7 linked regions of the Rattus norvegicus genome follow. The protein of the gene in region 5 interacts with the protein of the main gene of each other region in a biochemical or structural test. Links are inferred from orthologs where the notes say so. Each region holds a gene or a part of one and is shown on either strand. Other genes may lie near its edges. The genes, in order: Dusp1, Gab2, Mbp, Dusp3, Mapk3, Ptprr and Ptprb.

Region 1 (4,124 bases), on a different chromosome or scaffold from region 5:
TCTTTTAGGATCGTTGCTCAAAGGGATGTAAAAACGCCCTTTAAAAATAACGTGTCCCGAATTTCCAGAAGAATCTAGGCAGAACGCAAGTGCTAAGAGAGGCCAAAGCGGACGTTGCTGGGCAAAGACACATGGTGGCCAGTAAAACACCTCCCCTTGCAAAGAGGAAGAAACCGCAGAATGTTCCTGACTCGGCACCCCTGCGGAGTGGTGCAATGTTTATGTTTGTGTATCCAACTCGGTGGTGTTGGCAGCAGGCTCACGGCCTACCCCGTAGTCATGGAGTTTTGGGGAAGGACACAGACATCGTTGGGGTCTTCCCAGGTGTGATGGGTACAGTTTGTTCCACAGAGTGGAGGATTCAAAGCTCTCAGTCCTGAGTCATTGGTGTGCTCAGCTTCTGTTCAGTAGAGTTGAAGAGCTAGGCATTAGTGAGGCGGGGACAGGAGGGTCTCTGTGAGTTCAAGGCCAGCCAGGGCTAAACAGCAAGACCTCTCTCAAACAAAACAAAAGAAAGTTGTGTTGGGGGCAGAGGAGCAGTGGCTGGCAGCATCTTCTGATGCCTCGCGACGACAACGTGCTTGACGGTCCTTGGGCGGCGCTGTGGAGCTCTATCCAAGTCCCCCCCCCCCCCCTCCCCGAAAATGTCAAACCTGGGCTCCACACCCGAATTTGCAACCCTCCTCCCTTTGCTCCAAGTAAGTCCTCTAGGGACCATCGTAGTTAAGATAACACTTCGGTGTGGGGGTTGTGGGGGGAGCTAACTGGAGACACTCCTTTGTCAGCGTAAAACTTTTAAAGTGAGATTCAAGAAGGACGTCTGGACTCTCGCTGTTTGTCCTCAGTATAGCCAGAGGGTTATAGACCGAGTTGGTCATCTCTCACTATCCACTTCCCTTTCCCGCTCTGCTCCCGCGCCCACCACCCCAGCAGCCAGAGCGGGGCCAACTGAGACCGTGATCCCAGGAGTGGCCGCGCGCTCGTTAGAGACCCGGGCAGGGGAGCAGGGCAGGTGTCCCCGGGCGCGTCCTCAGGCCGAGCCTTCTGGCCACCCCGGCTGGCAGCGCGCCGTCCTGCCTGCGAGCTCGGAGGGCAGGAGGGTGGGGGCCCGGCCCGGAGCCAGCGCTCAAAGCCGACCCGCTCCCAGGCCGATGACGTCTTTGCTTTTGGCTTTGGTGGCGCCAAGCCCGGCAGGGCGGGTGACGTCACCACCCGGTCACGTGTCCGCCATTCAAACAAACAAACCGTTCCCCCCCTCCTCCTGTGCCGCGCCCGGGACCGCCCCCAAGAGGCCACATAAAACCGCGCTCCTCCGAACCAGCGCGCAGCAAAGGACTGGCGGGCGGGACGCGCGGTGAAGCCAGATTAGGATCAGCGAGCACTTGAGGATTTAGGGCCACAAAAAACCGCACAAGATCGACAGACTATTTCTGGAGAGCTGCAGAACGGGCACGCTGGGGTCGCTGGTGCTGGCCATGGTGATGGAGGTGGGCATCCTGGACGCCGGGGGGCTGCGCGCGCTGCTGCGAGAGCGCGCCGCTCAGTGCCTGCTTCTGGATTGTCGCTCCTTCTTCGCCTTCAACGCCGGCCACATCGTGGGCTCAGTGAACGTGCGCTTCAGCACCATCGTGCGGCGCCGCGCCAAGGGCGCCATGGGCCTGGAGCATATCGTGCCGAACACCGAACTGCGCGGCCGCCTGCTGGCCGGAGCCTATCACGCCGTAGTGCTGCTGGACGAACGCAGCGCCGCCCTGGACGGCGCCAAGCGCGACGGCACCCTGGCCCTGGCCGCGGGCGCGCTCTGCCGAGAAGCGCGCTCCACTCAAGTCTTCTTCCTCCAAGGTACGCGCAGGACTTCTGCCATCAGCTAAGGAAGGGGGGCGTCCCACCTGGAGTGTGAGAGCGCCTGTGTCCAGGGGCTTGTCACTGGCTTTGTTTGACTCCGGGAACAAAGACTTCCTAAACCTTCCTTGTAAACTCGCAGCCCCTGGTGGGTGGGTGACTTGTCTCCAGGTACTGCGTCGGCGGCGGCGTTAATGGGAAAATATGTACCTTTGTATTCTCAGGAGGATATGAAGCGTTTTCGGCTTCCTGCCCTGAGCTGTGCAGCAAACAGTCCACCCCCATGGGGCTCAGCCTCCCGCTGAGTACTAGTGTGCCTGACAGTGCAGAATCCGGATGCAGCTCCTGTAGCACCCCTCTCTACGACCAGGTTAGTAGGAGTCCGGGGTCTACGAGAGGCTGGGAGGTGGCAGAACTGGCAGAGCTCTGGGAAGCTTGTGCCAGGGAGAATAGAGAAAGCGGCTGTAGCTTTATTTATACTAGCGGGGACACGAGGATCTTCATTTCACCATGAAGCAATTGGATGGAGCTGAATTCTCCCAGTTGCTGGCACGGAAGAGCTTGTTGGCTCTGTCCCGGCCAACCGGCTCGATTCTTTACTATTATTTTCATATGTCAACAGCAGTACTGAGGTCACCGCTTTTCAGAAACTCCCTTTTTCAGTCGGGAGTTTTTGTGGGCGTGGGTCCTGGCGTGTTCACGCCGAACAAGCTTGATGAACGCTGGATTGTTTTGGATTTCAGGGGGGCCCAGTGGAGATCCTGTCCTTCCTGTACCTGGGCAGTGCTTACCATGCTTCCCGGAAAGATATGCTCGACGCCTTGGGTATCACTGCTTTGATCAACGTCTCGGCCAATTGTCCTAACCACTTTGAGGGTCACTACCAGTACAAGAGCATCCCTGTGGAGGACAACCACAAGGCAGACATTAGCTCCTGGTTCAACGAGGCGATTGACTTTATAGGTAAGTGGGATAGATGTCTGGGATCTCTGCGTTCTTCTCTACTGTAGCTGCTGAGCCCAACCTTCCTCCTCACTGAGACTTGAATAGTTGGACTGACTGTCTTGTCCAGGATTATACGTGCAGACACCCAATCTGGGTTTAAATCCCTTGCTATCCTTTGCACAGCATATGCACAGTCCCTATGATAGCATGAGGGCGTCTTTGATCAGGGCTCGGCTGTCCTCCTGAGTTTTTGAGTAAGCCATAACTTTGTTTTTCAGACTCCATCAAGGATGCTGGAGGAAGGGTGTTTGTGCACTGCCAGGCCGGCATCTCCAGGTCAGCCACCATCTGCCTTGCTTACCTCATGAGGACTAACCGAGTGAAGCTGGACGAGGCCTTTGAGTTCGTGAAGCAGAGGCGGAGTATTATCTCCCCCAACTTCAGCTTCATGGGCCAGCTGCTGCAATTTGAGTCCCAAGTACTGGCCCCTCACTGTTCTGCAGAAGCTGGGAGCCCGGCCATGGCTGTCCTTGACCGGGGCACCTCTACTACAACGGTCTTCAACTTCCCTGTCTCCATCCCTGTTCACCCCACGAACAGTGCCCTGAACTACCTTCAAAGCCCCATCACAACCTCTCCGAGCTGCTGAAGGGCCAGGGGAGGTGTGGAGTTTCACGTGCCACCGGGACGACACTCCTCCCATGGGAGGAGCAATGCAATAACTCTGGGAGAGGCTCATGTGAGCTGGTCCTTATTTATTTAACACCCCCCCCCCCAAACACCTCCCGAGTTCCACTGAGTTCCCAAGCAGTCATAACAATGACTTGACCGCAAGACATTTGCTGAACTCAGCCCGTTCGGGACCAATATATTGTGGGTACATCGAGCCCCTCTGACAAAACAGGGCAGAAGGGAAAGGACTCTGTTTGAGCCAGTTTCTTCCCTTGCCTGTTTTTTCTAGAAACTTCGTGCTTGACATACCTACCAGTATTAACCATTCCCGATGACATACACGTTTGAGAGTTTTACCTTATTTATTTTTGTGTGGGTGGGTGGTCTGCCCTCACAAATGTCATTGTCTACTCATAGAAGAACGAAATACCTCACTTTTTGTGTTTGCGTACTGTACTATCTTGTAAATAGACCCAGAGCAGGCTTTCAGCACTGATGGACGAAGCCAGTGTTGGTTTGTTTGTAGCTTTTAGCTATCAACAGTTGTATGTTTGTTTATTTATGATCTGAAGTAATATATTTCTTCTTCTGAGAAGACATTTTGTTACTAGGATGACTTTTTTTTTATACAGCAGAATAAATTATGACATTTCTATTGAGTTCTC
Region 2 (4,158 bases), about 30 Mb from region 5:
CTGCCTCTCCAGTCGATGCATCAACCACACAGCTACCCTTGTTAAAGTGGATTACTTGCAACCTCCCAAAGAAACTGGAGGGGAACCTACCTTTTAATGCTGTTTGGGAAGGTGCTAAAAAAAAAAAAAAAAAAAAAAAAAAAAACTCTTACCAAAGGTTTTGGTTTTGGTTTTGGTTTTCTTTTTTCCTCCACCTCCCCCCTGGAGCACTGGTGCTAAGTGAATGCTTCCTGGTCCTTTATCTCAACCCTCTCAGCACAAGGCAGTGAGAAAGAGCTCTCTATATTCATATTTATATAGGAAAGATCTCACTGCAAGTGAATGGGTGCAAACTCTGGAAATTTTTTTATCACAATTTCTTATTCTTCTATACCTCCTTGTTTTCCAATTCACCTCCTTGTTTTCCAATTCTGCAAAACTTAAAATTTCCTTTTACAGGATTCGTTTTTTCCAGAGGCAACATGGGAGAGCGCCAGCTGGACTTTGTTTCTCAGCAATAAGATTCAGTTCCCCACCCCCACCCCCTTTGATCTACAGACATTACAGCAATCCATCATTCTGAAAAAGAAAAAAGAAAAAAAACCGGGGGAGAGGATCCTCTCCCCTCCTCCCCAAACACCTGGATTAGAAACGACTGCATTGTATGAGCTGTGGGACTTCAGGCTATCTGTAAAATGGGTACAATTACTGCCTATCCAATTTGTAGAGTTGTGAAGATAATCGCTGTGAAGGACTCCCCGTGCACAGTAGGTCTGTTTACTTCTACTCTGGCCTAGAGATGTGAGAGTTAGCTTACAGTGAAGCAGGACACCCATTTCAGCCAGAATCCGACTTATTGAAACCTGAAACTGTGGGACTGGACAGGAAACTGGAGCAGCCCTTGGATCTCTTTCCTACTCTTACACGACCCTGAGGAGGGGTGGGGTGGGGAGGGGGTGAGAATGGGCTCGCTGTTCGATCTAGGGTGGGCAGCCTCTAGCCTTCCCTCGCCCTAGCACCAGCCCCACCTAGAGGTCTTCACGACCCCTCCTGCAGCTCCAGGCTTAGAGGAGGGGAAAAAAAAAAAAACAACCACCGCCAAGATCCTGAGGGCGCACTGGGTGGCGGCAGCTCTCCTCGCCTCAAGGCCTCCTTGCCTGTGGTGTCCAGAGCCTGGGTAGTTAGCCTCTACGCCGACCGCCCTCAGGGACCGCGCGGGGCTGTGGGCGTGGCGAGAGCCCGCTTGCTGAGGCGCCCTGGTGGGGCTGGCTGAGAGAGCGCGCGCGCGCGGCCGCAGGACGGGGGGGGGGGGTTCGAGCGCGCGCAGGCAGCCGAGCCCGCGCGCCTCGCCGCCTCGTCCTCGCCCGGGGCTGCCCGGCCCCTCCCCTCCCCCGCGAGCTGCGCACCGGCAGCCGGCTGACCCAGCAGCCCGCGCCCGCGCCCTTGTCCGCGCGAGCCGGCGGCGGGCTCCAGTCAGCGGGCGACATGAGCGGCGGCGGCGACGACGTGGTGTGTACCGGCTGGCTGAGGAAATCGCCTCCGGAAAAGAAGTTGAGGCGCTATGTGAGTGAGGCGAGCGGGCGCGGCCGGGCGGGCGGGCGGACGGCCGGGGGCTGTCCCGCGGCCTCTGAGGTGGGGGCGCTGAGAGAGGCCGTACGCGGCGAGCCGAGGCCCCGCGGCCTCAGAGGGCGAGAGCGGCGGGGCGCGAGTGGGGCGCCTCACACCTGTCACAGGTGCGCCGCCGAGGGGCGGGGCGCAGGTCGGGGCCGCGGCTCGCCGCCCGCCTCCCCGGGAACTCCTCGCGGTGCCGAAGTTTGTAACGATTGTTCCGGCGATCCGGAGAGTAAACGCCCGGGGCTGAAGGGGCAGAGTCACCCCGAGCGGAAGGGTAGGCTGAGGGGCCGCGCGGCCCCGGGCCCACAAAGGGCGAGGCGCCGCGCCCCTTTCCGGGTCCCTTTCTCTGTCCGCCCCTCCCTGGTGGCTGCCGGCTTCCTTCCAGTCCGCGGCCACTGCATCACGGGCAGCGTCAGCGGCATGTGCAGCGCTTGTATTAAGTGACTCATTTGTTTGTCCCCCTTCTTTCCCATTATTTCGAATGTCTCTCACATACCCCCACCCCCACCCCCACACACACCGCGGCCCTCCGCCCCACCGGGTGACACTGCAGTTTGGTCCTCTATAACTGGCCAGAGTTTTGTGTCATGCAGCCCTTGGTGTCTGGGGTCTGAAGACATGGTTCTGAATTGCTAGGTGGTGCTAGCTGTGTTTACTGAAATTGGTGGGACGGGCTGTCCCCTCTACGTGAGAAACTGGCAACTGAGGTCGGGGCACCCCCTTCTTGTTTAGCGAAGTCAGAGAACAAAATGGTGCCAGGATCGGAGATTGGAGTAGTCTGATGAGTTTAGAAATGGAAAGTCAGTTAAAGGAGTGCAGGTTCTCCCATCTTCTCACTCCTCACTTGCCAAGAAACGTCCTTGTTATGCTGACTGGGAGTGCTGGACTCAGAAATCACCCCCACAGCCTGGAAGTGAGCGGTTGCTTCCAGCTGCAGTGCATCAAGGGAGCTCCCAACAGACCCTGCCCTCTGTCAGCTGCACTAGTGGCTGGCCATGGGGGATAGAAGCTTACCAGAGTTTCCTGTCTCTGCTCCCCAGATCAGAATCAAGGGACTTCTGGCCTCTGGACTGAGGAAGTGACATTCTGTTTTTCAAAGGAAGTGTTGTTGTTGGGGAGTGCAAGTGTGTCAATGAAACCGGGCTTTGACTTAGGTCACTTGCTTGAGGGGAGGGGGGAGGAGGAGAGGCAGACAGGGAATCTTAGGATTTAGTGCATGGTTTTTGAAAGTGAACAGAGATTTGGCATACAGTAATATAGTAGGGGTGTTTAAGCTTTAAAGCTCATTTGGGTTTTTTTTTATGTGAGTAAAATATTTTAATTACTAAGAGCTTTTTGTTTTGTTTTGTTTTGTTCTGTTGCCTGTTGCTGTAGCCTAGGCTTGTACTGCCAGCACTTACATTTGGGAAGCAAGAGACAGGAGGAGCAGAGGTTCAAAGCCAGCCTATTTCTGTTGGTCTAGGCCAGCTTAAGCTACATGAGACCCTGTCTCTCATTTGCATGCCAAACAATACTCACTCTCTCTCACTCTCTCTCTCTCTCTCTCTCTCTCTCAAATCATGCATGTGCACAACTCCAAGATGGCTTAATGGGTAAAAGCAGTGCCCTCAAACCTGTCAACTTAAATTTGGTTCCCTGGAACCCACATAAAGATGGAAGGAGAGTTCTGACCTACACACTCATGTTGTGTGCACTCACACAATCTCTCTCACATACACAGAAATAGTTAAGAAAATGGGGGGGGGGGCTTTGTCGGGGATGGGGGTGGTCGTTCATGCCTGTAGATGTGTCCAGCATCTGGAAGATGGAGGCAGGAGTATCAATAGTTCAAGATCATCCTTGACTGCTTAGTGAGCTCAAGGCCAACCCAGACTACATGACCAGCCACTGAAATAGTGTCCAGTTTTAAAAAGTAAAATAAAACGTTCAGATTAGAAAGGAATGTAGCATAGTTGGTAGAATGTTTTCTTAGCGGACAAGATGTTCTGGGTTTTATCCAAGAACATCATAAACATTGCTGGGTGGCACAAGCCTGTAATCCCAGCATTCCAAGGAGGAGAGAGGAGGATTAGAAGTTCAGCTCATCCTTGAATTTGAGAAAACAAACAAAAATATATAGAGATCACTGGAACTTTGTTTTTTAAATATCTTGTAAAAAAGTTGATACTGTTGCTACTTTGACTCATGACTGCATCAACCCTTACCATGAAGATTCTCTTTATGACCTAGCTCTTGAGTATTTTTTAGAACAACTTTAGCTCAAAAATAGCCAAGTTTGGAGGCTTGTGTCAAACACAGATTTTACCCATTTAAACTCCTTTAGCAGTCTTGGGTCCTCTGGTGACCTCAGCCTCCCTCTCGAACTGCACATTCCCTTTGGCTCCAGCCCGGAAGGCACCTCCCACTGTAGAAAGAAGTTCAGCCCTCCTACTTGAAACAGCCAATTGAAATAACTTGTGCTTCCAGTACAGCCTCCTTGATCCACTACATTTCTGGAGGAAAGAGTTGGCTTTTACACACACACACACACACACACACACACACACACACACACACATGCACACA
Region 3 (3,500 bases), on a different chromosome or scaffold from region 5:
CTTCCAACTACTAACACAGGCTCTGTCTGGTGCTTTCTATGTGAGGGGACGGAGTAAACATTTGTCCACAGCCTCGGGACCTACAACGCAAAGGGTAAAGCCATGTTACTGTTTAGTTCATCGCGAGGATTGCGATGTAACTGACCCGGAGGGAGGCTGAGTGCTAGGCAAATGAAATGAAAATGGCAGGGATCAGTGTCGCCCAGGAGGACTGGGGGGATGAACAAAGAAATGCGGGGTGTTTTAGACCAGCATTGTGACCTAAGACACATTGCATTTGTCCATATACATTGGCTGCATGCCACATAGAGTGAACGATGATATATCCAGATGATGATGATGGTGATGATGGTGATGATGGTGATGATGATGGTGGTGGTGGTGGTGGTGATGATGGTGACAATGATGATGTTAATGCCCCGATCTTTTTCTATCACTTGGAACAAGCAAATCACAATGCCGATGGCACCTGTGCCACTCTAGTTCTCATCACGGAGCCACACCCATCGCACACACCCTCCCGGCTTTCGAGAGAGCCCTTGCCTTTCTTGTGGCAAACTCCCCAGAGGGCTCTCCCAACCCGAACATGGAGAGACAGGATGCTTCAAGTGACTGGATTGCCATCCCAGTCACATGGCTGTGACCCCTGCGGAGGACTATGTATATCACTTCTGTGGTCCTTGTGGTTGTTTGACTGAGGCTTCTCTGAGCACAGGGGTGATTCGGAGTGTGTGCTGGGAACAGCAGAGGGAGAGATGAGGAAACTCATGCAGTCTCCTCCAGAATTCCCTGTCTGTTGCTCTCTGAATACAGTGATGTTGTGAGGTCCCTTCACAGTGTCTTCTCAAGGATTCTAACAAACTGTTAGATGTACACAGTTTCTGTGGTGCTGTGCTCATCCCCTGTGTCGAGCACAGGTACAGAGCGACAGCCAGGAGGACAGCATCAGGAGAAAGCAGAGCCTTCTCAGTCTCTCCTGAAAGCTTGCGCTCACTTGGGATAAGTCACTGGCCATGTGCTTGCTAGAATATCTTATTGGTTACATTCACTGGCCTAGAACCCTCTGGTTCTGTGGGTTATGAATTCTCCTCGGCCCAGGTGGACACTCACTGCAGGTGTAACACCATCTGACTCAAGATGGGAAAGTGATAGTACTATATCGGCAGACTCAGAACCCCGGTGACATGAGGCAAAGAGGCTAGCTCATGATGCTGCAACCCCAAAGCTAATGAATAGACTCCCTCTGCCTGTCGTGGCTTCAGAAATAGAGTAGCCACCCGGCAAACTGCAGTGACACATCAAGCATGCTCCTCCAGGCCCCGTGCCTGACTCAGGGGTCTGCTGCCACACCAGCAGCTCCCCAGTCCCCAGGAAGCACGGAGTAGAGACCTTCCTCAGAAGGACAGACCTGGCTCACCTACCTAGAACTCTCCATCCTCAGCTGCATGCTTCTCTCTTTCAGGACTCACACACAAGAACTACCCACTACGGCTCCCTGCCCCAGAAGTCGCAGAGGACCCAAGATGAAAACCCAGTAGTCCACTTCTTCAAGAACATTGTAAGTGACGTGCACAAGGGGAACCAAGAAATCATCAAGGGGAAGGCTGCAGATCCAAGCGAGGTCTTATCTCACACCTAGCCTCCTTGGATCCTTCTCAGGGTGCTGCTGATGGCCTGAGGAACACCACCCTCAAAGGATTTAATTTTCCTGAAACCAGACAGCTAGCAGATGCTTAATTAAAAATATAGACTTTGTAACCCTGAGAAATGAAAATGGCAGGGATCAGCATTGCCCAGGAGGTATGAACAAAGAAATGCAGGGCATTTTAGACCAGCATTGTGACATAAGACACATTGCATTTGTCCATATACATAGGATGCATGCCATATAGAGTGAACGCTGATATATCCAGATGATGATGATGGTGATGATGATGATGGTGATGGTGGTGGTGGTGGTGATGATGGTGGTGGTGACAATGGTGTTAATGCCCCCAATCTTTGTCTGTCACTTGGAACAAGCAAATCACATTAATGCCAATGCTAAACAGCAGAAGCTGAGCAGATGTGTGGGAATGCCCTACGGGTGTAGGGGAAATGCATGATTTCATTACAACTTCTGTATACAGCGGAAAACTCTTCCACAAAATAAATGTCCTAGTTACCTCTCTATTGTCATGATAAGACAGCATGAGCAAGGCCACATACAGAGAAGAAAGAGGTTATTTGGAGGTCATGGTTCAGAGGATGAGTCAATGGCCATCATGGTGAGGGGGTGTGGATAGTGCTGGGGCAGTAGCTGAGAAATCACATCTTCAGACATAACCATGAGGTAGACATAGGAGGGGACATAGAGGTAGATACACAGATAGATGATTGTTAGATGGATAGATAGATGTGATAAATAAATGATAGAGAGATAATAGATACATAAATAGGTATATAGATACAAAGATAAACAATAGATAGATACATAGATAAACAATAGATAGATACATAGATAGATAATAGACAGACAGACAGAGCCCACCTGAGTGGCACACCTCTTCCAATAAGGCCACACCTCCTAATAGTTCCGCCAACTGGCCACTAAACATTAACATATATGAGCCTTTGGGGGCCACTCTCATCCAAACAACCATAAGAAAATTGTTTTTTCTTAAAACTAATGGTGAGGAGCTGGAGTGATCGCTCGGCCATTAAGAGAGCATACTACGTGTCTTAGACCTTCTATTGCTGTGGTGAGACACCATGACCAAAGGCGACTTGAGGGGAAAAGGACTTCTGTCCTTTCCTTGTCACAGTCCCTCATTGAAGGAACTCAGAGCATGAACCCAGAGGCAGAAACTGAAGCAGAAGCCATGAGCAGAGGCTGCTGACTGACTTGGTCCTCATGCTTTCTTAAATACCCCAGAACCACCCCTCAGGGATGGTCCCACCCACAATGGCCTGGGCCCTCTCTGAGCAATCATTAGTTCAGAAAACACACTAGAGATCTGTATGCAAATCTTACGGAGACGTCTTCTCAGATAAAATTCCCCTTTCTCAAATGATTCTGTCCTGTGTCAGGTTGACATAAAGCCAGCCAGCACACGGCTCTTGCAAAGGATCAGAGTTCAGTTCCCATCACTCATGTGGGTGGCTCATAACTGGCTATCGCTATAGCTTCGGCCCCTGCTGGCCTCCATGGTCTCCTGCTCTCACAGGCCCACACAGAGACGTTTCTCTCTGAATGGGGCATCAAGCTGAAACTGAGCGTCAATAGATGCACGATTTCCAGCCCCAGGAAGGGCAGGATATGGAGACATGTACTAGTTTCTGACCCCTGATGGACTGGAGTCATGTCTGTGGACATGAACTAATAGGACCCTCTGGGAGGGCGTGGGGCTTCCTGCGGGGAAGTGAGTCACTGCAGCCCCCACCTCTCTGTCTTCCAGGTGACACCTCGTACACCCCCTCCATCCCAAGGAAAGGTAAGTTAGCCTGAGATGTTTCGATTC
Region 4 (3,933 bases), on a different chromosome or scaffold from region 5:
GCAGCTGCTCCAGGAAAGATTTACCTCCACACTAGCCCACAGCCAAGGACGCAGGCCCAGTGAGTGTTCGACACAGTCGCCACTAAGTGCTTCTGGTACTGCTAGGCCTGTTCATTCCGCGCTCGGAACTGAACTAAGGCTTTTGTGCATGCTAGGTACCTTACCAGCCCAGGAACTTCCCCAGCCCCTTGAATGCTTCTGGAACCTTTCCAGCGATTCTTAAGAATTAGATGTTGCATATTCTTTACTGCAATGCTTGGGACAGAAGTGTTTGGGATTTTCTAATGTTTAATGCATAGAGTCAGATATTTTGGGAATGGATCCAAGTCTAAATCCATTAACGCTTCACATATAAACGTATCCTGAATTTAGTTTTGTATTTTGTACGGTAATTTTTAGTGCACCTGTGTTTTGACTGTGACCCGTCACAGGTTAGGTGTGAGAATTCTCCACTTACATTGTGTTTACACTCAAAAGCTACAGATTTATAAAACACTTTCGGATCTCCAAAAGTATAGCTACTCAAACGGCTATCGTGACGTATAACCCTTTCCTCCCTTTTAGTCGCTAGCAAACAGGCTAAGATTAAGTAATCCACTAGGGGTCAGAGGCCAAACCTGGGGACCCATACCTTCACTTTCAAAAAGTTCAATGCTGATTCACACCAAACACTGAAAGAAGTGTTCCAGAGTAGGGCTCTTTCCTGTGACCTTGTGATCCATGTCCTGGGGTGGGCAAGTTGTTTGTTCATCAGGCGTGGGCTGGGACATGTGCTCTGACATGTGTGTTTGGGGTGAGGGAGTGGATGCCCACGCTGCTGGTGTGCAGCGAGAAGGGTTCACGGCAAACACCAGGGGTACCCATTATCCTGAAAGAGAGACGCCAGGTGTACCTAGGCGTCCCGCATTGGTACGGCGTTCCAGTACGGGTGACACCGGAGTGACGACATCTCGGCCAGGGACCCGCCCCGGGGTCCTGCGGCGCGTGGGCCGGTCGCGCGTGTCCTCTGAGCTGCGTAGCGCGCCGCCAGCTCCCCTCACCCAGTGGGCCCGCCTCCGGGGCGGGACGGGGCGGTTCCCGGTTGGGCAGCCCCGCCCCGCTGACCCGGCTTCTCCCCCTCGCTCGCTCCTGCCCCGGCATGCAGGGCCCCGCCGCCGCCATGTCCGGCTCTTTTGAGCTCTCGGTGCAAGATCTCAACGACCTGCTCTCGGACGGCAGCGGCTGCTATAGCCTCCCGAGCCAGCCCTGCAACGAGGTCATCCCGAGGGTCTACGTGGGCAACGCGTGAGTCTCCGGGAGGGGCAACTCCGCAGCCGCTCCCCGGGCGCCCCGCCTACTCGGGGCTGGAATAGGGGTTCACGGGGCGGGGGTGGGGGTGGGCCCTGGGTGCGGTCGCTGACCTCAGTCAAGAGCGGGTGCCCGGGACCAGCCTGGAGTAGACACCCACTCCCCGCGTCTGAAGCGGAGGAGCTGGACTCCGCATGCCCTGAGACGCCCCTCACCCCCCCCCCTCAAAGTGCCCGGCCCTGACCTCCGCCACTACCAGCTCTGGCTTGGGCTTGGGCGGGGTCAAGGCTACCACGTTCTCTTAACAGGTGGCAGGGCTGTCTCTTGGCCGCGGGTCACGTGACAGCTGCCTAGTTCTGCAGTGAGGTCACCGTGGAATGTCTGCCTTCGTTGCCATGGCAACGGGATGACGTTACAATCCGGGTGTGGAGCTTTTCCTGTCCGTGTCAGGAAATCCAAATACCCTAAAATGCGCTAGAAGAGGAAGTAGCTGAACCAAGGCTCTCCTGGCTTCTCCAGATAGGGTTTGACTCAGATGGGACAAATCAAAAATGATGAAGACCTGAGGCATCTGAAAAATCCCTCCTAATCGCACCACTAGGAAATGTGTATATCACTGATCTCTTATGTTTTTATAAAAAAAAAAAACAAAAAAACACCGAGAGAAAAGTTGGCATGACCCACACTGCAGGAAGATCCATAGTGGGTTTTCATGAGCGCGAAGGCCCCTTTTATCAAAGCCCTAAGCTCTGTTTTTGTGAACTAGGAAGCGATGGCCCCTGGGTGGTTGAGGGGTTGTAAGGATCTTTCAATGCCTTTCATGTGTGTTTCCTGTCGTGCACCTAGGACCTGCTGCTTAACCTGCGGGGAGGGGGGTGGGGGTGGGACCGGTTGCAGACACTTGGGGACAGGTTTCGTGCACTGCGTTGCTCATCTTTATATGAAGCACCTACTATGTGTCAAACACCATATGGTGTCCACTCTTTGGAATGGTGGTGGTGATGATGGTGCGTTTGCTGACTGCTGGATTAGTGTTAGAAAACTGGGATATAGGGGCACAGTATTCAGCATTCTGGCTGTGCATTCTTGCTCCTGAGCAAGCGGATAAACAGACTCACGGGGTCAGCCTCCAGCTCGGTCACTGCATAGTCCTAAGGAACCTGGCCCAGTCCTTCCTACCCCAACTACCCAGGAAGCCAGGGAGCTTGGCAGTCTCGGGAGCCTGCTTGCTGAGGAACAGGTTATTGGGTTTGTCTGTAGTGGCTTCCTCAGGAATACTGTCAGGAATGATGCCTGCCGAGGAGAACACACCCTTTGTCCTCTGTGCAAATCTGACCTTGATGTGGGGGGTGCTCAGCTGGGAGGATCAACTTCGTACCTAAGGCCAAGAATTGTGCTTCCTTACTCACCTGAAACTCGTGGTCAGAAGGGCTGCCGGGCACATCCTCTCAGGCCAGTGAGGGAGTCTGTGTGAGCTGCATTTTCCAATCTCAGGGCGTGAGAGGCAGAGCAGGGCTGAGTCTGAGTCTGGACTGCACTTTCCTCTTAGCTCTGGCTTAGCGGCCCACGTGGGCACACGCGCACACACACCCCCATCCCTCTGCCTTTCCTGTCCTGCAGAATTTAAGCTCTGTTCACAGGGGACAGTTCTATCCTCTCTTGGGGGCTGCCATGTCAGGTAGACAGGCCCATGCAGGAGACACTGCTTTGTCAAGTACAAACTGCAGTTTAAATTTGGATGTTGTGAGGGGGAAGCAAAGGGCCTCTTTGACCACTCAGGCAAAGGACCTTCCAATTCCCATCATTTTGCGGGGGGCTACTTGAGTGCTAAGACATTGCAGAGAGCCTCAGAACTGTAGCCCAACAGAGTGGGGCAGGATTGGTCCTTCAGGGAGCCTGACATGTGACAATTCCATTCTTCACTCATTCACAGAACATTTATTCAGTACCTACCCCGTGACGGGCACTGTAGCAGGGGACAGAGCACTCAAAGAACTCACAGACTGAAGCCTTGGGATACAAACACCAAAAAATCAGGCTCTGTCAACAGAACAGCCCCCTTCAACACTCAGGACCACCGGCAAGCTGTTGGCACTGCTATCTGAATTTTACAGAGAGGAAAAACTGAGGCCCAGGAAGTTTTAAGTGGCTTGATTAAGGTTGCCTGCATGGTCGATGGTAGGGCTGGATTCAGACCCAGACATTCCGACTCTAGGGTCTATTTTTCTCTCTTTTTTTGTTTGAATCTGGGTCTTACTGGGGAAACTCAGGCTAGCCTCAAACTCACCTCCTCCTCCCTTGGCCTCCTGAGTGCTAGTATTCCAGGTGCGTGCTAATGGCTGACTCTCTATAGCTTGTCTATACTGCCCTCACAGCATAGGAACTATAATGGCAACACACACACCGTCAGGAGCTGGGGAAATCCCGCAGAGGACTCTGCAAGATGAGAGGCGAATGCCTACACAGAAGGTGGGGAAGGGAAGCAGAGGGAACAGCATGGGCGTAGGACCACAGGTCTATTTGGGGAAACTGCCGGTAACTGTATATGGCTGGGGTGAGGGGAGAGGTTGTGAAATGAGGCAGGAAGAGCCACAGGGGACAGCAGGTTCAGATCTTCCTCCTTTTCCTCCTTCCGGGGCTGCCTTT
Region 5 (4,287 bases):
GCTGGAGAGATGGTTCAGCGGTTAAGAGCACTGACTGCTCTTCCAGAGGTCCTGAGTTCAATTCCCAGCAACCACATGGTGGCTCACAACCAACTGTAATGGGATCTGATGCCCTCTTCTGGTGTGTCTGAAGACAGCTACAGTGTACTCACATACATGAAATAAATAAATCTTTAAAAAAAATTTTTAGCATTCTTATGGTAACATCTTTGCTTACCTAACCATCTTACTAGCCTCGATCCAGGGTCTTGATTTTGCTGTTTGGCACGCGCACGTGTGTGTGTGTGTGTGTGTGTGTGTGTGTGTGTGTATCTGTGTCTGTGTGTGTCTGTGTGTGTGTCTGTGTGTGTGTAAGAGAGAGAGAGAGAGAGAGAGAGAAACAGATTGTACATTTTAATTGATTTAGTTATCTTTGTTCACAGTTATCACCCTTTCCCTCCTTCTCATATGAAGTGGGCTGGGTTGCATGTCCTCCAGGCAATAACACTGGGTCTCAGAACACACCTGAGCCCACTGCAGGCCTGCCTCTTCACAGGAGCATACCTGACTTCACAGCTTTCTAGTGCTGCCTGCCATCCACCACCCTTCAGACTGCTTCCTCACTATAACACTTAGGATAAGCCCACCACCACCACAGGGGGGCCCAGCAAACGTGGGTACTTCCTACCAAGTCTGACAGCCCAAGTCGGATACCTAGGACCTGCACAGCAGAAGGAATCTGATATCCTCTGATCTCCACACAGGCTCTGTGACATACTCATGCCCCAACACACAAAATTAATAAATGTGGCAAATAAACGAATAAGAAATTATGGAATCTGGGCATTGTGATACAGTCTTTAATCCCAGCACAGGGGAGTTAGTATGCTGAGGCCAGCCTGGTCTACATAGTGGGTTCCAGGACAGCCAGTTCCATGTCAAGAGACCCTCTTAGAAAAAGGAAGAAAGAAAGAAAGGAAGGAAGGAAGGAAGGAAGGAAGGAAGGAAGGAAGGAAGAAACGAAGGAAGGAAGAGAAAAAAAGAAAAAAAAAGAGAGAGAGAAGATGGAAATGTGGCTCAGTGATAGGATTCTTGCCTAACATCCAGAATCTGCATGATGGCTCAGGCCTAAAGGTAGGAGGATGTGGCCAACCTCCACCACATAGAACCTTTGGGGCTGGCCTGGATTAATACTGTCTGCGTAAATGAAACAAAAAGTGAGAGGCAGGTCTCCAAAGTTTAGGGGTGGGTTCCCTCAGCATCACTCAGGGCCACTGGCCCCTGGGGCTGCAGTACTCTCTAGGCAGACTAAAGTACCCTAGTGGCCAAGGCAAGGAAGGAACAGCGTAACTAGGCGGGAAAGCCGGGCGCGCTCTCAGTAGACCACGTGACATCGCGGGCCCGCGCAGGCTCGCCGGGCAGGCGCGGGGGCGGGGCGCGCGGGGGCGGGGGCGGAGCCTGGCGCGCGGCCCCGCGGTGACAGGGCGGCAGGGAGGGGCGGGGCCGCGGGCGGGGCAGCGGGGGGAGGCGGGAGGAGTGGAGATGGCGGCGGCGGCGGCGGCTCCGGGGGGCGGGGGCGGGGAGCCCAGGGGAACTGCTGGGGTCGTCCCGGTGGTCCCCGGGGAGGTGGAGGTGGTGAAGGGGCAGCCATTCGACGTGGGCCCACGCTACACGCAGCTGCAGTACATCGGCGAGGGCGCGTACGGCATGGTCAGGTGAGGGGGTGTCCCAGGAGGGGGCTTCAGAGCGGGGACAGCAGGTGCGTGCCCGGGACATGGGGTCCGGGGAGTGTCGCAGGGGAGGGATCGTGCAGTGACTTCTGGGGGACCAGGAGCTACTTTCTCCGGGAAGGGGGGTTGGAGGCTTGGAAGCCACCTTGTATTGTTAAGGGAGGGGCACCTGGGGGACCCTAGAGATACAGGTGGAGCTAAGAGGATGACTATTCTTGGTGAAGGGGGAGTGAGAGACCCATAAGCAGGTAGTGGGAGCCTTGGTTCCCCCCTGATGAGGTTGTGACAGAGTTTGAGAGAGCAGAGCAAAGCTCAGGGTGGGGCAAACCTTTGCACCCCTGCCCCTGGCCTTGCCAGAGGCCCAAAGTAGGGAGGGGTCTCTAGAATGTGCCTTATTTTGTGGGATACAGGTTTGTGAGTTCTCGCTGCCCCACTCTGTGCTCTGGGCCTTTGTTCCTATGGGAACAGCTCTGACCCAGGAACCTCACCGGGAGACAGACCTACCCCTTCTTATCTCTTCCCCTGTCCCATTACTGAATCCTCTGGGTTTCATCCACTCTCTCCATTTAACTCCCATCCCCTGGACCTGTCTTGGATTGAGAGAGTCCAGCTCAGGAAAGGGGAGGAGGGTGAGGGCAACTACAATGTAAGAGGGTCCAGGAGAAAGGAAGTCAGTGAGTGGCCACTCTCTTCCTCTGTTTGTGAAGTCACTGAAAGGCTGCCTGGCTGGTCCCCAGCTTTCCCCCTGGAGATTCCAGGCCTTCACAGCAGGAAGGAGCCAGCATTGTTTACACTTGGCCAGAACCCTCTCCTGCTCTCTCCGGTCCCTGCCAAGGCCTGGGTGGGGCCACCAGGCCTGGATTCCCCCTTTGTAAGGCCACACATCTCTCTGGCTCTCTCAGCTCAGCATATGACCACGTGCGCAAGACCAGAGTGGCTATCAAGAAGATCAGCCCCTTCGAGCATCAAACCTACTGTCAGCGCACGCTGAGAGAAATCCAGATCTTGCTGCGATTCCGCCATGAGAATGTCATAGGCATCCGAGACATCCTCAGAGCACCCACCCTGGAAGCCATGAGAGATGTGTATCCTTTAGCCACAGCTCCAGAGCGAGGCTAAGGAGCTTGGCTTTGCTTTCTGTTGTCGTCTGTTGTGCCACCCTCAAAAAAAAAAAAAAAAAAAAAAACCAAAAAAAACCAAAAAACTTAAAAACCCAGCAAAGTAACTTTTTAGCTGAGAGTCTACGGAGCAGAAGAGCACCCTGGCAGGCCTTGGATCCTGGTCTGTTGCAGCCAAGTGGAGTGGCCTTGAACACATCCTTTTCTGCTCTGTGCCCCAGTATGGTGTGTGGGGAGGGGAGAATGCTGGGCAAACCATCTCTATGGGAGCTTTGTCTTCTGACATCTGCAGTTCTGTGACATGACCCAGTCTCTGCCCACAGCCCTTTCTTGCTCAACAGACTCACGATTCTTTAGAGACCTCACACTGGATTGAAAGCGAGGAAGAAAACCAGCATTGGGCATGCCTAGCGCTTTGGTTCTAATTCAACCTTTTAGCTTCCCTGTGTGATGAGCTTTACCGCGTCCATTTCTAAGATGAGGAAACTGAGGCTCTGTGTTTTGCTGGGCCTTCTGTGGGGGAGGGGCGATACTTTCTCCAACGTGGAGAGGGTGGAGGCTTTCACACCACCTTGCATTGTTAAGAGGAGGAACCTGAAGACCCTAGACTCACAGGGCGGAGCCACGCCTTTGCACTCCTGGTCTAGCCAGGGGCTCAAGGAAGGACGAGGGGCCCTGAGAGTCTGCCTATAGAAGAAAGCCTAAATTCAGCTGTTCCTGTTTGTTGCTTCCTCTTCTTCCCCAGTTGGCTTTCTTGGAGCCTTCCCACTCTTCTGAGAGCCCCACCCTGATTACCTGCGGCCTTGTACCTTGACCAGGAAAGGTAGTCCAGCCCTTGTTGCCCTTGCTTGACACTGCTTGCCTAGTTCAGACATTTAGTTCATTGTCCACATGTACTTCCTGCTTGGCGCCATTGCTAGTAGACTGTAGCACCCATGGCCTCTTCCCTACCCACCCCTCCCGATCCCAGGATTTGTTCTGCAGCCTCTGCAGCTCTGACCACAGGAAATCGACTACTCCTGTCTTGTTGCATGACCTTCAGCAGGTCTCTGCACCTCCGGACTTCCACATTTGTAAAGCGGCAGGGTTGGTCCATGTGTGTGTATCTGCATATGCTTGTTCTCTCTTCTTCTTTTTGAGAAAGGGTCTCCCTATGTAGACCAGGCTAGCCCTGAACTCATAGAGATCCTGGGTGCCACCAGCCCCAGCTCTCACATGTCTTCTGTGGAAGACAGTTCAGACTTCATTTTTTGAGAAAGTGTCACTGTGTATCCCTGGTTGGCCTCAGGCTAACTCTGTAGACCTGGCTGGCTTTAAACTTCTAGGCAAGCCTCTGGCCTCTGCTTCAAGTGCTGAGATTGTAGGAGTGACGTACTCTGCCCAGCTCCTGATTACTCTTCCAAAGATAAGCCAGATGACATTTGTTTGTGTTTAGTCTTTGTTTTATCTTCAAGTATAAA
Region 6 (4,206 bases), on a different chromosome or scaffold from region 5:
CCTTAGGGGATGCAGGGAGAAAGCACTGAATGAGCCCTGCAGTTCAATTCAATGAGCACTTATTACTACCTCTGATTTGGCCAGCACGACTTTATTCAATTTAAGTTAATGCAAAATTCAGAGCTTCTCAAGGAGCCTGCAGTTGGTGAAATATGCGTCACAGATAAATGAACCATTTCAGAAAAAAATATATACATATATATGTACATACACACATATAGTATATACATATACACATACATATACATATACACATACACATACACATACACATACACATACACATACACATACACATACATATACATATACATATATATATATGTCAGTGCTCAAAAACCGGGGAGGAGAAAGAACATTATAATCTCAGGTTAGCCCAGAGCTTTCTGGAAACGTGAGAGCAAGTTTAGACCTATGTAAGCTCTTGTGTGGCCGTGTTCTGACTGAGGTCCGTTGCCAAAAGGCAGCAGGGAAACCTGCGGACAGAAGCATAAGGATGAACAGTCTTGAAGGGAGCCTCGCTGAGGGACATTTTGGCTTAGAGTAATTAGTCACTAGATTGGTAAGGATCTCCATCCTACCAACTTAGATAAAGAGAGTAAAAGTACATATATTCTGCACACCGTGGGGTCCTCGTTAAAGATACAGGGCTAGAGCTCAGAAGTAGAGTTAAGATAAAAAGGCCGGAGTGGTTCAGCTGTTAAGAGCACTGCTTCTTTTCCCAGAAGGCCATGGCAGCTTGCAACATGCCTAACTTCAGCTCTAGGCTTTCAATAACCGCTTTAGACCTCCAAGGGCATGAGGCACAGGCTTGATGAACAGACATGCATGCAAGCAAAATAACCAAGTATATTCACTTTTTAATTAAATAATAGAACCTTAGATAACTATTTCCATAAACTACCAAAGACCATTCCTTTCCTTCAAATTACATGGGCGTACTTCCCTACCCTGTAAGTATGGCCTCCTTATTTTCAATCACTACAGTCATAGACTTAGGGCTTGAATCCAATGGAAGTACAAAGATTGGAAGAAGCCTGGGGTAAGCTAATTGGCAAGTAGGGGGCGCCCTCAGAATAGCCAGTTAGCTTTACACAGCAGGCTGTTAGTGAGAACACTTGCCCAAGCAGGCCAGGACTAACTGCTTGCCTATACTTCAGTAGGGTGGAACATACTGGGAAGTTGGTCGGCCCGCAAACATTTAGTTGCAACAGTGAGGTGAGTCCCCACGCGTGAATCAAAATGCGAGGAAGGAACCAGATGAGTGGCTCCCTCCACTTCCCTCCTTGGGTCTCTGTGGTCCTGGCCCCGCCTCTTCCCGCCCCACTCCACTCCTCCCCACGCCCAGATTCAGGAGGAACGCGCGGGTCCCTAACGCTAGCCTCCAGCCCCTCCTCCCTCTCGTGGAGCTCGTTCCCCTCGCAGCCTCAGCTAAGACCCGGAGAGGTGGAATTTCGATTTGAAACTCCCTAGCCAGGGCCGGGGCTGGGCATGCTCAGTGCCTCGGTGTATCGGGCTGCTGCTAGCTGCACAGGCAGCAGAGGCGCTGCCTGGCTTGGAAGCTGGCACAAGAGTCCACCCCACTGTCACCACCGACTGCGGGCTTCAGGAAGGCCAAACACTCACCTCCTCTGAGCGCTTTACACCCACCAACCTCGAGTCCCCATCTCCCGCAGCATCCTACTCTCCCGTCTCCCCATCCCTTAGGGAGACGAAGCCAGTGCTCGGTTCTGTAGGCACGCCACAGACTGCTCTGTGAACCCCAGCGGAGGACCCTGTCATCGGATGCCTCGGGATCAAAGGACTCTTGGCAGTGTTTCTCTCAAATAGCACTTTGCCTGGAGTGGGATTGCGGTGGAGTTTCTCCCCCGCCCCTCAATGCACACACTATGAGGAGAGCGGTCGGTTTCCCTGCACTGTGCCTGCTTCTTAATCTTCACGCTGCAGGTAAGGGCTTGCGGGGGTTCAGAGCTGAAGCTGAGGATGAGATGGGAAACAGCACATGCTTAAGGACTCCAGGGGAAGCTTACCTAGCAGAAGAAGGTTTGGTATAGTCTCTGAGGGGTGAGAGAGTGCACCTGTTGGAAGGCTGGGGCTGAAAACTTAGGCTAAATTCAGCCTTTCCTTTTTCTTTATCTTGCATAACGAAGAGTGAACATTTTAAATGTGTATATAGATTTGCTTTCCCCTCCATCGAGCTTTCCTGCTTGCGCTTCTAGGCTTTGCACTTGGTTGCACATTTTACAGGAAAAGAGATGAGACATCCTGCTGGATGGAGTCCTTTCTACTGCAGCGGCTACATCCATAAGCTCTCCCAGTTTAGTGAGCGCTCACGGGGCTCTGTCTGTAACCTGATGGTCTACATCTCCGCCCCTAAGAGCCAAATGCATGGTTTATTAACAATGCTGCCCCAGGCTGCTTTGGACCCTGCTCTTGTCACTCGGATTTTCTGAACCAATAAGAGTAAGGAAAGGTTTCAAACGGGAGGCTCTTCTCTATTTCAGCACCACGGTCAGTATCCGCAGTCAGAATAGAAAAACCCAACCACACTTACAAGCCTAGGGTTTATCACTGTCTCCCCAGGGGGAAATTCGATGGAAGATAGCTAGGAGTGCAGTCACATAAAAATAGGTTGGACACAAGAATCAGTATCTAGTTCTAGGGATGCAAACCTGATAAAGTGCCTAGGAATTTTATATCCAGCATCACCTGGCTCCTCTAACACAGTGGATAAGCTTGCTGGACTGCATCCTGTATGATTTTCACACATGTGAACCAAAATAAAACATGGCAGAGAGGTTTGAGGAACCCTGCCGTGACCGCAGTTGTCCAAGCAGTAGCCCTGTAGCAAACGCAGACCTTTTCTTTGAGTTTCTTTCACACACATTCATTTCTCTAAGTACACCGAGTGGGAGTGCATTGTGTTACTGCGACCATAAACACACACACACACACACACACACACACACACACACACACACACACACACACTAGCTGGGAAACTGCAATCTTTGCGGTAGTGTTCCAAAAGCCTGAGTGCTTTTTTTCCCTGTATGCAATAATGGGAGTGAAATGTAGTACTTTTCTGTCCTAGCTATTGCGATTTAAATGCATTATGCATTTAGAAACAGACGATGTATAGGAACAATAAAGCTATAATTAAGGATGTATGTTAATTATTATAATTACAATATTACATTGTGGAGTCTTCAGTGGTTCTCTGGTATCTTGAATACCAGTGGGAGAAGAAGCTATGACTTGGTTATTAAATTATTTGCAAACAACTGTAATGAATCACTTCTCAGCCACATACAATTATTTAAATGTTAAAGTATATGACGATTACATAGATGCTGTTTTTGCTTTATGTCCAATACTATTTAGTGGTACAATTGACAAAAGTAACCACTGCCAAAAAAAGTTTTCATTGCTACCAAGTTAAGTAATTAGTTATCTGATAAAACACATCGATGTAATTATTCTTTAAAAAAGTATGCATACACAAATGTTGACAGTTATGATTAATGCATGCCAGGGAGTTATAAGCTTACAATTATACACAGACTTTATTATAGGTCTGGAGAAAAGGTTTCTAATTTATTATGGATGAACCCTGGGGATAAGGGAAAGAGAGGACGTCTGCCCACCAGAGGTGAAACCTAGAAGTCTGCAGCCCTCCATGATTCCTGGAGCTTTGCCAAAACATGTATTACAAAGGTCAAAGCAAATCTATTCTCTACACTTTGGCCTCTTAACTTGCAGAAAAGATTAAAAATAAGATTACCCAGCCAATTTTAGTTTCATAAGGCAACAGGTGATTTGCTATATATTTCAGATTTCAGTGGCATTAATTTGTATTATTTTTTGTATGTAATACGGTGCTCTGGAATGGTATTTTTTCAAAGCAGATTGTGGGTCTGATGTTGTAATTGTCATCTTGCCAGTTTTGTTTTGGGTTCATTTTAATTTTCAACAGCAATTTGTGGGTCAGAAGCTGTCATCAGATTAAAATGCATCGCGGTTATCTAATAGCACTGTTTGGGCTTTTCATCAGAACTCAGATAAATATAGCTTTCTTGATCTATGCTCCCACAGATTTAGGTAATAAGAAAATAAGTGGCTAGGAGAGCACAGATCAAGAAGCCTCGAAGCCTTTTACTTGTTGAATATCTGAGTTTATCTCTCATAAAGAGAGCCACATTCAAG
Region 7 (3,500 bases), on a different chromosome or scaffold from region 5:
ACGCAGAGGAGGATCACAAGTCACTACAGTCATTTCATCTTGAGCAGAGTTCACATGTGTTGAGTAATGACTCTGCCAACCAGTGTTCCACCATTCCATCATTACAATAACTCTTCAATAGCTAGAGAGATTCTTGATTCCCTCATGCGCAGGTGGGTTGTAGAGGTGGAAAGTCATTTATACAAAAGTGTTGGTGAAGTCAGGCTGGAGGCTTACCTTGCCTTCTGTCCGGCTGGTTCTGGTGTCCTCACATGCGCTTGCTTTTCAAAGCATGCTGTCGATTTTCTGAAGGCATAGTACTTTCACTTTCAGTAAGGCTTTTTTATTGTTGCGTTGTTTTGGGTTGACAGTGTTGAAGAGCGAACACATGGTCACACATATGCTAAGCTAGCCTAGCTACATTCCCGGCTGCATTTTTAACTCTTTCTTTTACATTTACTTATCTACCTACTTACCTCTGTGTGTGTTCTCATGAGTATTCATGTGTGTGCACAAGTATGGGGATGTCAGAGGACAACTTGCAGAAGTCCTTTGTCTTTTTATAATCATGTAGATTCCAGGGATTGAACTCTGGCCATTAGGCTCGGTGGCAAATACCTTTACCTGTTGAGACATCTCAGTGGTCCCATTTAACATTAGATGGACTGTTTTATTTGTTGGTAAGCTGGTTGGTTTTGGTTGGTTGGTTGATTGGTTGGGTTTTTTTGTTTTGTTTTGTTTGTTTGTTTGTTTGCTTGTTTGTTTTTTTTTGTTTGGTTGACTTGTTTGATTGGTTGGTTGGTTGGTTGGTTGGTTGGTTGGTTGGTTGGTTGGTGGTTGGTTTTTCAAGACAGTAACCCTGGCTTTCCTGGAACTTGCCCTATGGACCACTCTGGCCTCAAACTCACAAATCCACCTGCCTCTGCCCCCTGAGCACTGGGATTAAAGATGTGCACCACCACAGCCTGGCTGACACTTTCTTTTTTCAACATGTAGTCTGGCAACCAGAAATTTTCCATGATGATCCTTAGAAATACTTTCCTCAGAAAGTAATTCAAGAAGTTGTGAGAAGGGTCTGTTTACAGCTAGACAGTTAACCCCAAAGGTGCTGGAGGAAATGTCTTGCATAAGGCTGACCTGTGTCTCTTACCCCTTGCTCCCACAGAACCAGACAAGATCCAAAACCTGCATTGCCGCCCTCAGAACTCGACGGCCATTGCCTGCTCTTGGATACCACCTGACTCCGACTTCGATGGCTACAGCATTGAATGTCGAAAAATGGACACCCAAGAAATTGAGTTTTCCAGAAAGCTGGAGAAAGAAAAATCACTGCTCAACATCATGATGTTAGTGCCTCATAGGAGGTACCTGGTGTCCATCAAGGTGCAGTCGGCCGGTGTGACCAGCGAGGTGGTTGAAGACAGCACCATCACCATGATAGACCGTAAGTGTTTCCCAAGGTCTGCGTGGGACCCCTTGTCACACAGGGGTAGAGGGCTTCGAATCTCTCTCAGTTATTTCCACCAATCCCATTCGCTTGCACACAGTTCACATGCACACAATCCTGTCTTGTTATTACTTGGAGAAGAGGATCAAATACTCCAGGAAAATGAGGACATTTCTCTGGATAAAGTTTTGCATTAACAAACACCATCAAGGTTAAAGTGCCTGAAGGAGTTGGGGTTTAAGTGTGCCATTTGCCTGATCTAGTTAATCTATAACCAGTGGGGCTTTCAAACCATGTGATGCTACAACCTGAGGGAATCCTGCAGAGGAGACGCCCCTTCCATTGCACCTAATGCACCACTGGCAAAGCATTTCCTCTGCCTACTTCTGCCCAGGCGAGGAGGAGGATTTCCTCATGGAGGCTGTAATCACACATTACCTCGGTAGAGCACAGAGGCCGAGGTGACTATAGACCTCCACCTCTCTGACCTGTTCAGAGGAGAAAGGGCCCCATGACCCTTCTTGCCGACTTCCCCTCTTTTCCAGGCCCTCCGCCGCCGCCTCCACATATCCGAGTGAATGAGAAGGATGTGCTGATCAGCAAATCTTCCATCAACTTCACTGTCAACTGCAGCTGGTTCAGCGACACCAACGGGGCTGTTAAATACTTCGCCGTGGTGGTGAGAGAGGCTGACAGTGAGTAATGACGAGTTAATGAACTCGAAGACACAGAACTGACTTCTTAAAGGTCGTGAGAGGGCTCCTTCCATGAGAAAGTTTGAAGTGTAGAAAATGAAATGTTAGATACTCAGTTCTGTCTCAGAGGATCCTCTGACAATGAACCCTGTTAACTCTGGGCGTAATGAGTGATCAACAGGAGAATGATAAAAATAACAAATACGGTAACGATTGAGCTGAACAGTGTTGCCCACACTTACAAACCCTGTGCTTATGAAGCTGAGACAGGAGGACTTCTATGAGTTTAAGACCATCCTATACATCCTATAGACAAAGATCATTTATTTTTAGAGTCCTTACTATTTCCCAAGCACAATTTTCCAATACATGAATATCCTCTTGGCTACCCATCAATTTTGTTTTCTCTCTTTCTCTTCCCCCACCCCTCTCTCAAATTCTGCCAGTAAGTAGCAATATATCATAACACCTTTTATCTATCTCACTTTCTATGACATAGACAGGCACCTACTCCCAAACCATACATCAATTCACAAAAATTCCCAAAAGCTTACAAGAGAGAAAAGATGTTCATTTGAAGCACCACTGCTTTATGGAGGGTGTTTTTCTGAGTTCTGTTCATTTGGTCTTGCTGTTGCTTGTTTTGTTTTTGTGTTGTTGTTGTTATCATTGTGTTTGTCCATTTGTTTTTTACGTAACTTGGTCTGGTCTTCCCCTCACTTTGTAGCCTATGCTAACCTCAAAACCTCACGAGTCTCTGGCCTTAGTTTCTTCCCGGCCTTGGGATTGTAGACATGTAATCACCACACTCAACTCTTAATCTTTAGCAGTGTATTTCATTGTGCAGTTTTGTAGAAAGCACGGGGACACCCAGCTTCCACAGATTGGGCACGTGTTCTGCACTGTTACACGTAGTTGTACGTAACTGATTGTGACTGAAGAACTGACACGTCCTGTCAAAGCACCTGAAGGAGGTGTGGATTGGAGTTATGTGTATCCACGTATGTCTTTGCTGCTAAGGCCTTAGGTACTGAGTCTCCAAAAGGGATGCCAGTGTGCACAGGGATATGTCTATTTCATCTTCCTTATATTTCTCAGAATTATTCAAGGGGCTAAATATACATGAATTTCCCTAAGCATCTCTGACAAATTTTCAGCCGTTTTCGGGTAAAGGGGAATTTTTAAACATGGCAAACACTGGAACAATGTCTAGACTAAACGATATTTTAGTTTCAGTGGGTATTTAACAGTCTGTATGGTTTTACATCCTATTTAGTTGTACCAAATTGGTTATGCATAATTAATTAAATAATTTCAAGGGTCAATGATGCATCCCCGGTTTCCTCACACCCCGGCACTGGAGATAAATTTGTGAGCCG

The links.
Region 1: of the proteins of Mapk3 (region 5) and Dusp1, one has a biochemical effect on the other in vitro, tested with the Homo sapiens proteins (2 studies listed by BioGRID and IntAct). The link is inferred for Rattus norvegicus from reciprocal best matches to the Homo sapiens genes MAPK3 and DUSP1.
Region 2: of the proteins of Mapk3 (region 5) and Gab2, one has a biochemical effect on the other in vitro, tested with the Homo sapiens proteins (2 studies listed by BioGRID). The link is inferred for Rattus norvegicus from reciprocal best matches to the Homo sapiens genes MAPK3 and GAB2.
Region 3: of the proteins of Mapk3 (region 5) and Mbp, one has a biochemical effect on the other in vitro, tested with the Homo sapiens proteins (5 studies listed by BioGRID). The link is inferred for Rattus norvegicus from reciprocal best matches to the Homo sapiens genes MAPK3 and MBP.
Region 4: of the proteins of Mapk3 (region 5) and Dusp3, one has a biochemical effect on the other in vitro, tested with the Homo sapiens proteins (2 studies listed by BioGRID and IntAct). The link is inferred for Rattus norvegicus from reciprocal best matches to the Homo sapiens genes MAPK3 and DUSP3.
Region 6: the proteins of Mapk3 (region 5) and Ptprr form a complex in vitro, tested with the Homo sapiens proteins (2 studies listed by BioGRID). The link is inferred for Rattus norvegicus from reciprocal best matches to the Homo sapiens genes MAPK3 and PTPRR.
Region 7: of the proteins of Mapk3 (region 5) and Ptprb, one has a biochemical effect on the other in vitro, tested with the Homo sapiens proteins (2 studies listed by IntAct). The link is inferred for Rattus norvegicus from reciprocal best matches to the Homo sapiens genes MAPK3 and PTPRB.

What each region holds. Positions count from the first base shown.
Region 1 is NC_086028.1:17,183,529-17,187,652, forward strand, and holds Dusp1 (dual specificity protein phosphatase 1), read left to right. Parts: upstream 1-1,324; 5' UTR 1,325-1,475; coding exon 1,476-1,842; intron 1,843-2,066; coding exon 2,067-2,212; intron 2,213-2,585; coding exon 2,586-2,805; intron 2,806-3,065; coding exon 3,066-3,436; 3' UTR 3,437-4,118; downstream 4,119-4,124. UniProt on the Homo sapiens protein: Dual specificity phosphatase that dephosphorylates MAP kinase MAPK1/ERK2 on both 'Thr-183' and 'Tyr-185', regulating its activity during the meiotic cell cycle.
Region 2 is NC_086019.1:160,839,708-160,843,865, forward strand, and holds the start of Gab2 (GRB2-associated-binding protein 2), read left to right. Parts: upstream 1-1,358; 5' UTR 1,359-1,464; coding exon 1,465-1,542; intron 1,543-4,158. UniProt on the Homo sapiens protein: Adapter protein which acts downstream of several membrane receptors including cytokine, antigen, hormone, cell matrix and growth factor receptors to regulate multiple signaling pathways.
Region 3 is NC_086036.1:78,227,245-78,230,744, forward strand, and holds part of Mbp (myelin basic protein), read left to right. Parts: intron 1-1,462; coding exon 1,463-1,558; intron 1,559-3,437; coding exon 3,438-3,473; intron 3,474-3,500. UniProt on the Homo sapiens protein: The classic group of MBP isoforms (isoform 4-isoform 14) are with PLP the most abundant protein components of the myelin membrane in the CNS. They have a role in both its formation and stabilization.
Region 4 is NC_086028.1:87,429,236-87,433,168, reverse strand, and holds the start of Dusp3 (dual specificity protein phosphatase 3), read left to right. Parts: upstream 1-1,133; 5' UTR 1,134-1,138; coding exon 1,139-1,284; intron 1,285-1,448; exon of another isoform or gene 1,449-1,891; coding exon of another isoform or gene 1,892-1,893; intron 1,894-3,933. UniProt on the Homo sapiens protein: Shows activity both for tyrosine-protein phosphate and serine-protein phosphate, but displays a strong preference toward phosphotyrosines. Specifically dephosphorylates and inactivates ERK1 and ERK2.
Region 5 is NC_086019.1:190,795,707-190,799,993, forward strand, and holds the start of Mapk3 (mitogen-activated protein kinase 3), read left to right. Parts: upstream 1-1,487; 5' UTR 1,488-1,521; coding exon 1,522-1,694; intron 1,695-2,611; coding exon 2,612-2,794; intron 2,795-4,287.
Region 6 is NC_086025.1:53,547,236-53,551,441, forward strand, and holds the start of Ptprr (receptor-type tyrosine-protein phosphatase R isoform 1 precursor), read left to right. Parts: upstream 1-1,406; 5' UTR 1,407-1,889; coding exon 1,890-1,947; intron 1,948-4,206. UniProt on the Homo sapiens protein: Sequesters mitogen-activated protein kinases (MAPKs) such as MAPK1, MAPK3 and MAPK14 in the cytoplasm in an inactive form.
Region 7 is NC_086025.1:53,880,902-53,884,401, forward strand, and holds part of Ptprb (receptor-type tyrosine-protein phosphatase beta precursor), read left to right. Parts: intron 1-1,144; coding exon 1,145-1,423; intron 1,424-1,971; coding exon 1,972-2,121; intron 2,122-3,500. UniProt on the Homo sapiens protein: Plays an important role in blood vessel remodeling and angiogenesis. Not necessary for the initial formation of blood vessels, but is essential for their maintenance and remodeling. Can induce dephosphorylation of TEK/TIE2, CDH5/VE-cadherin and KDR/VEGFR-2.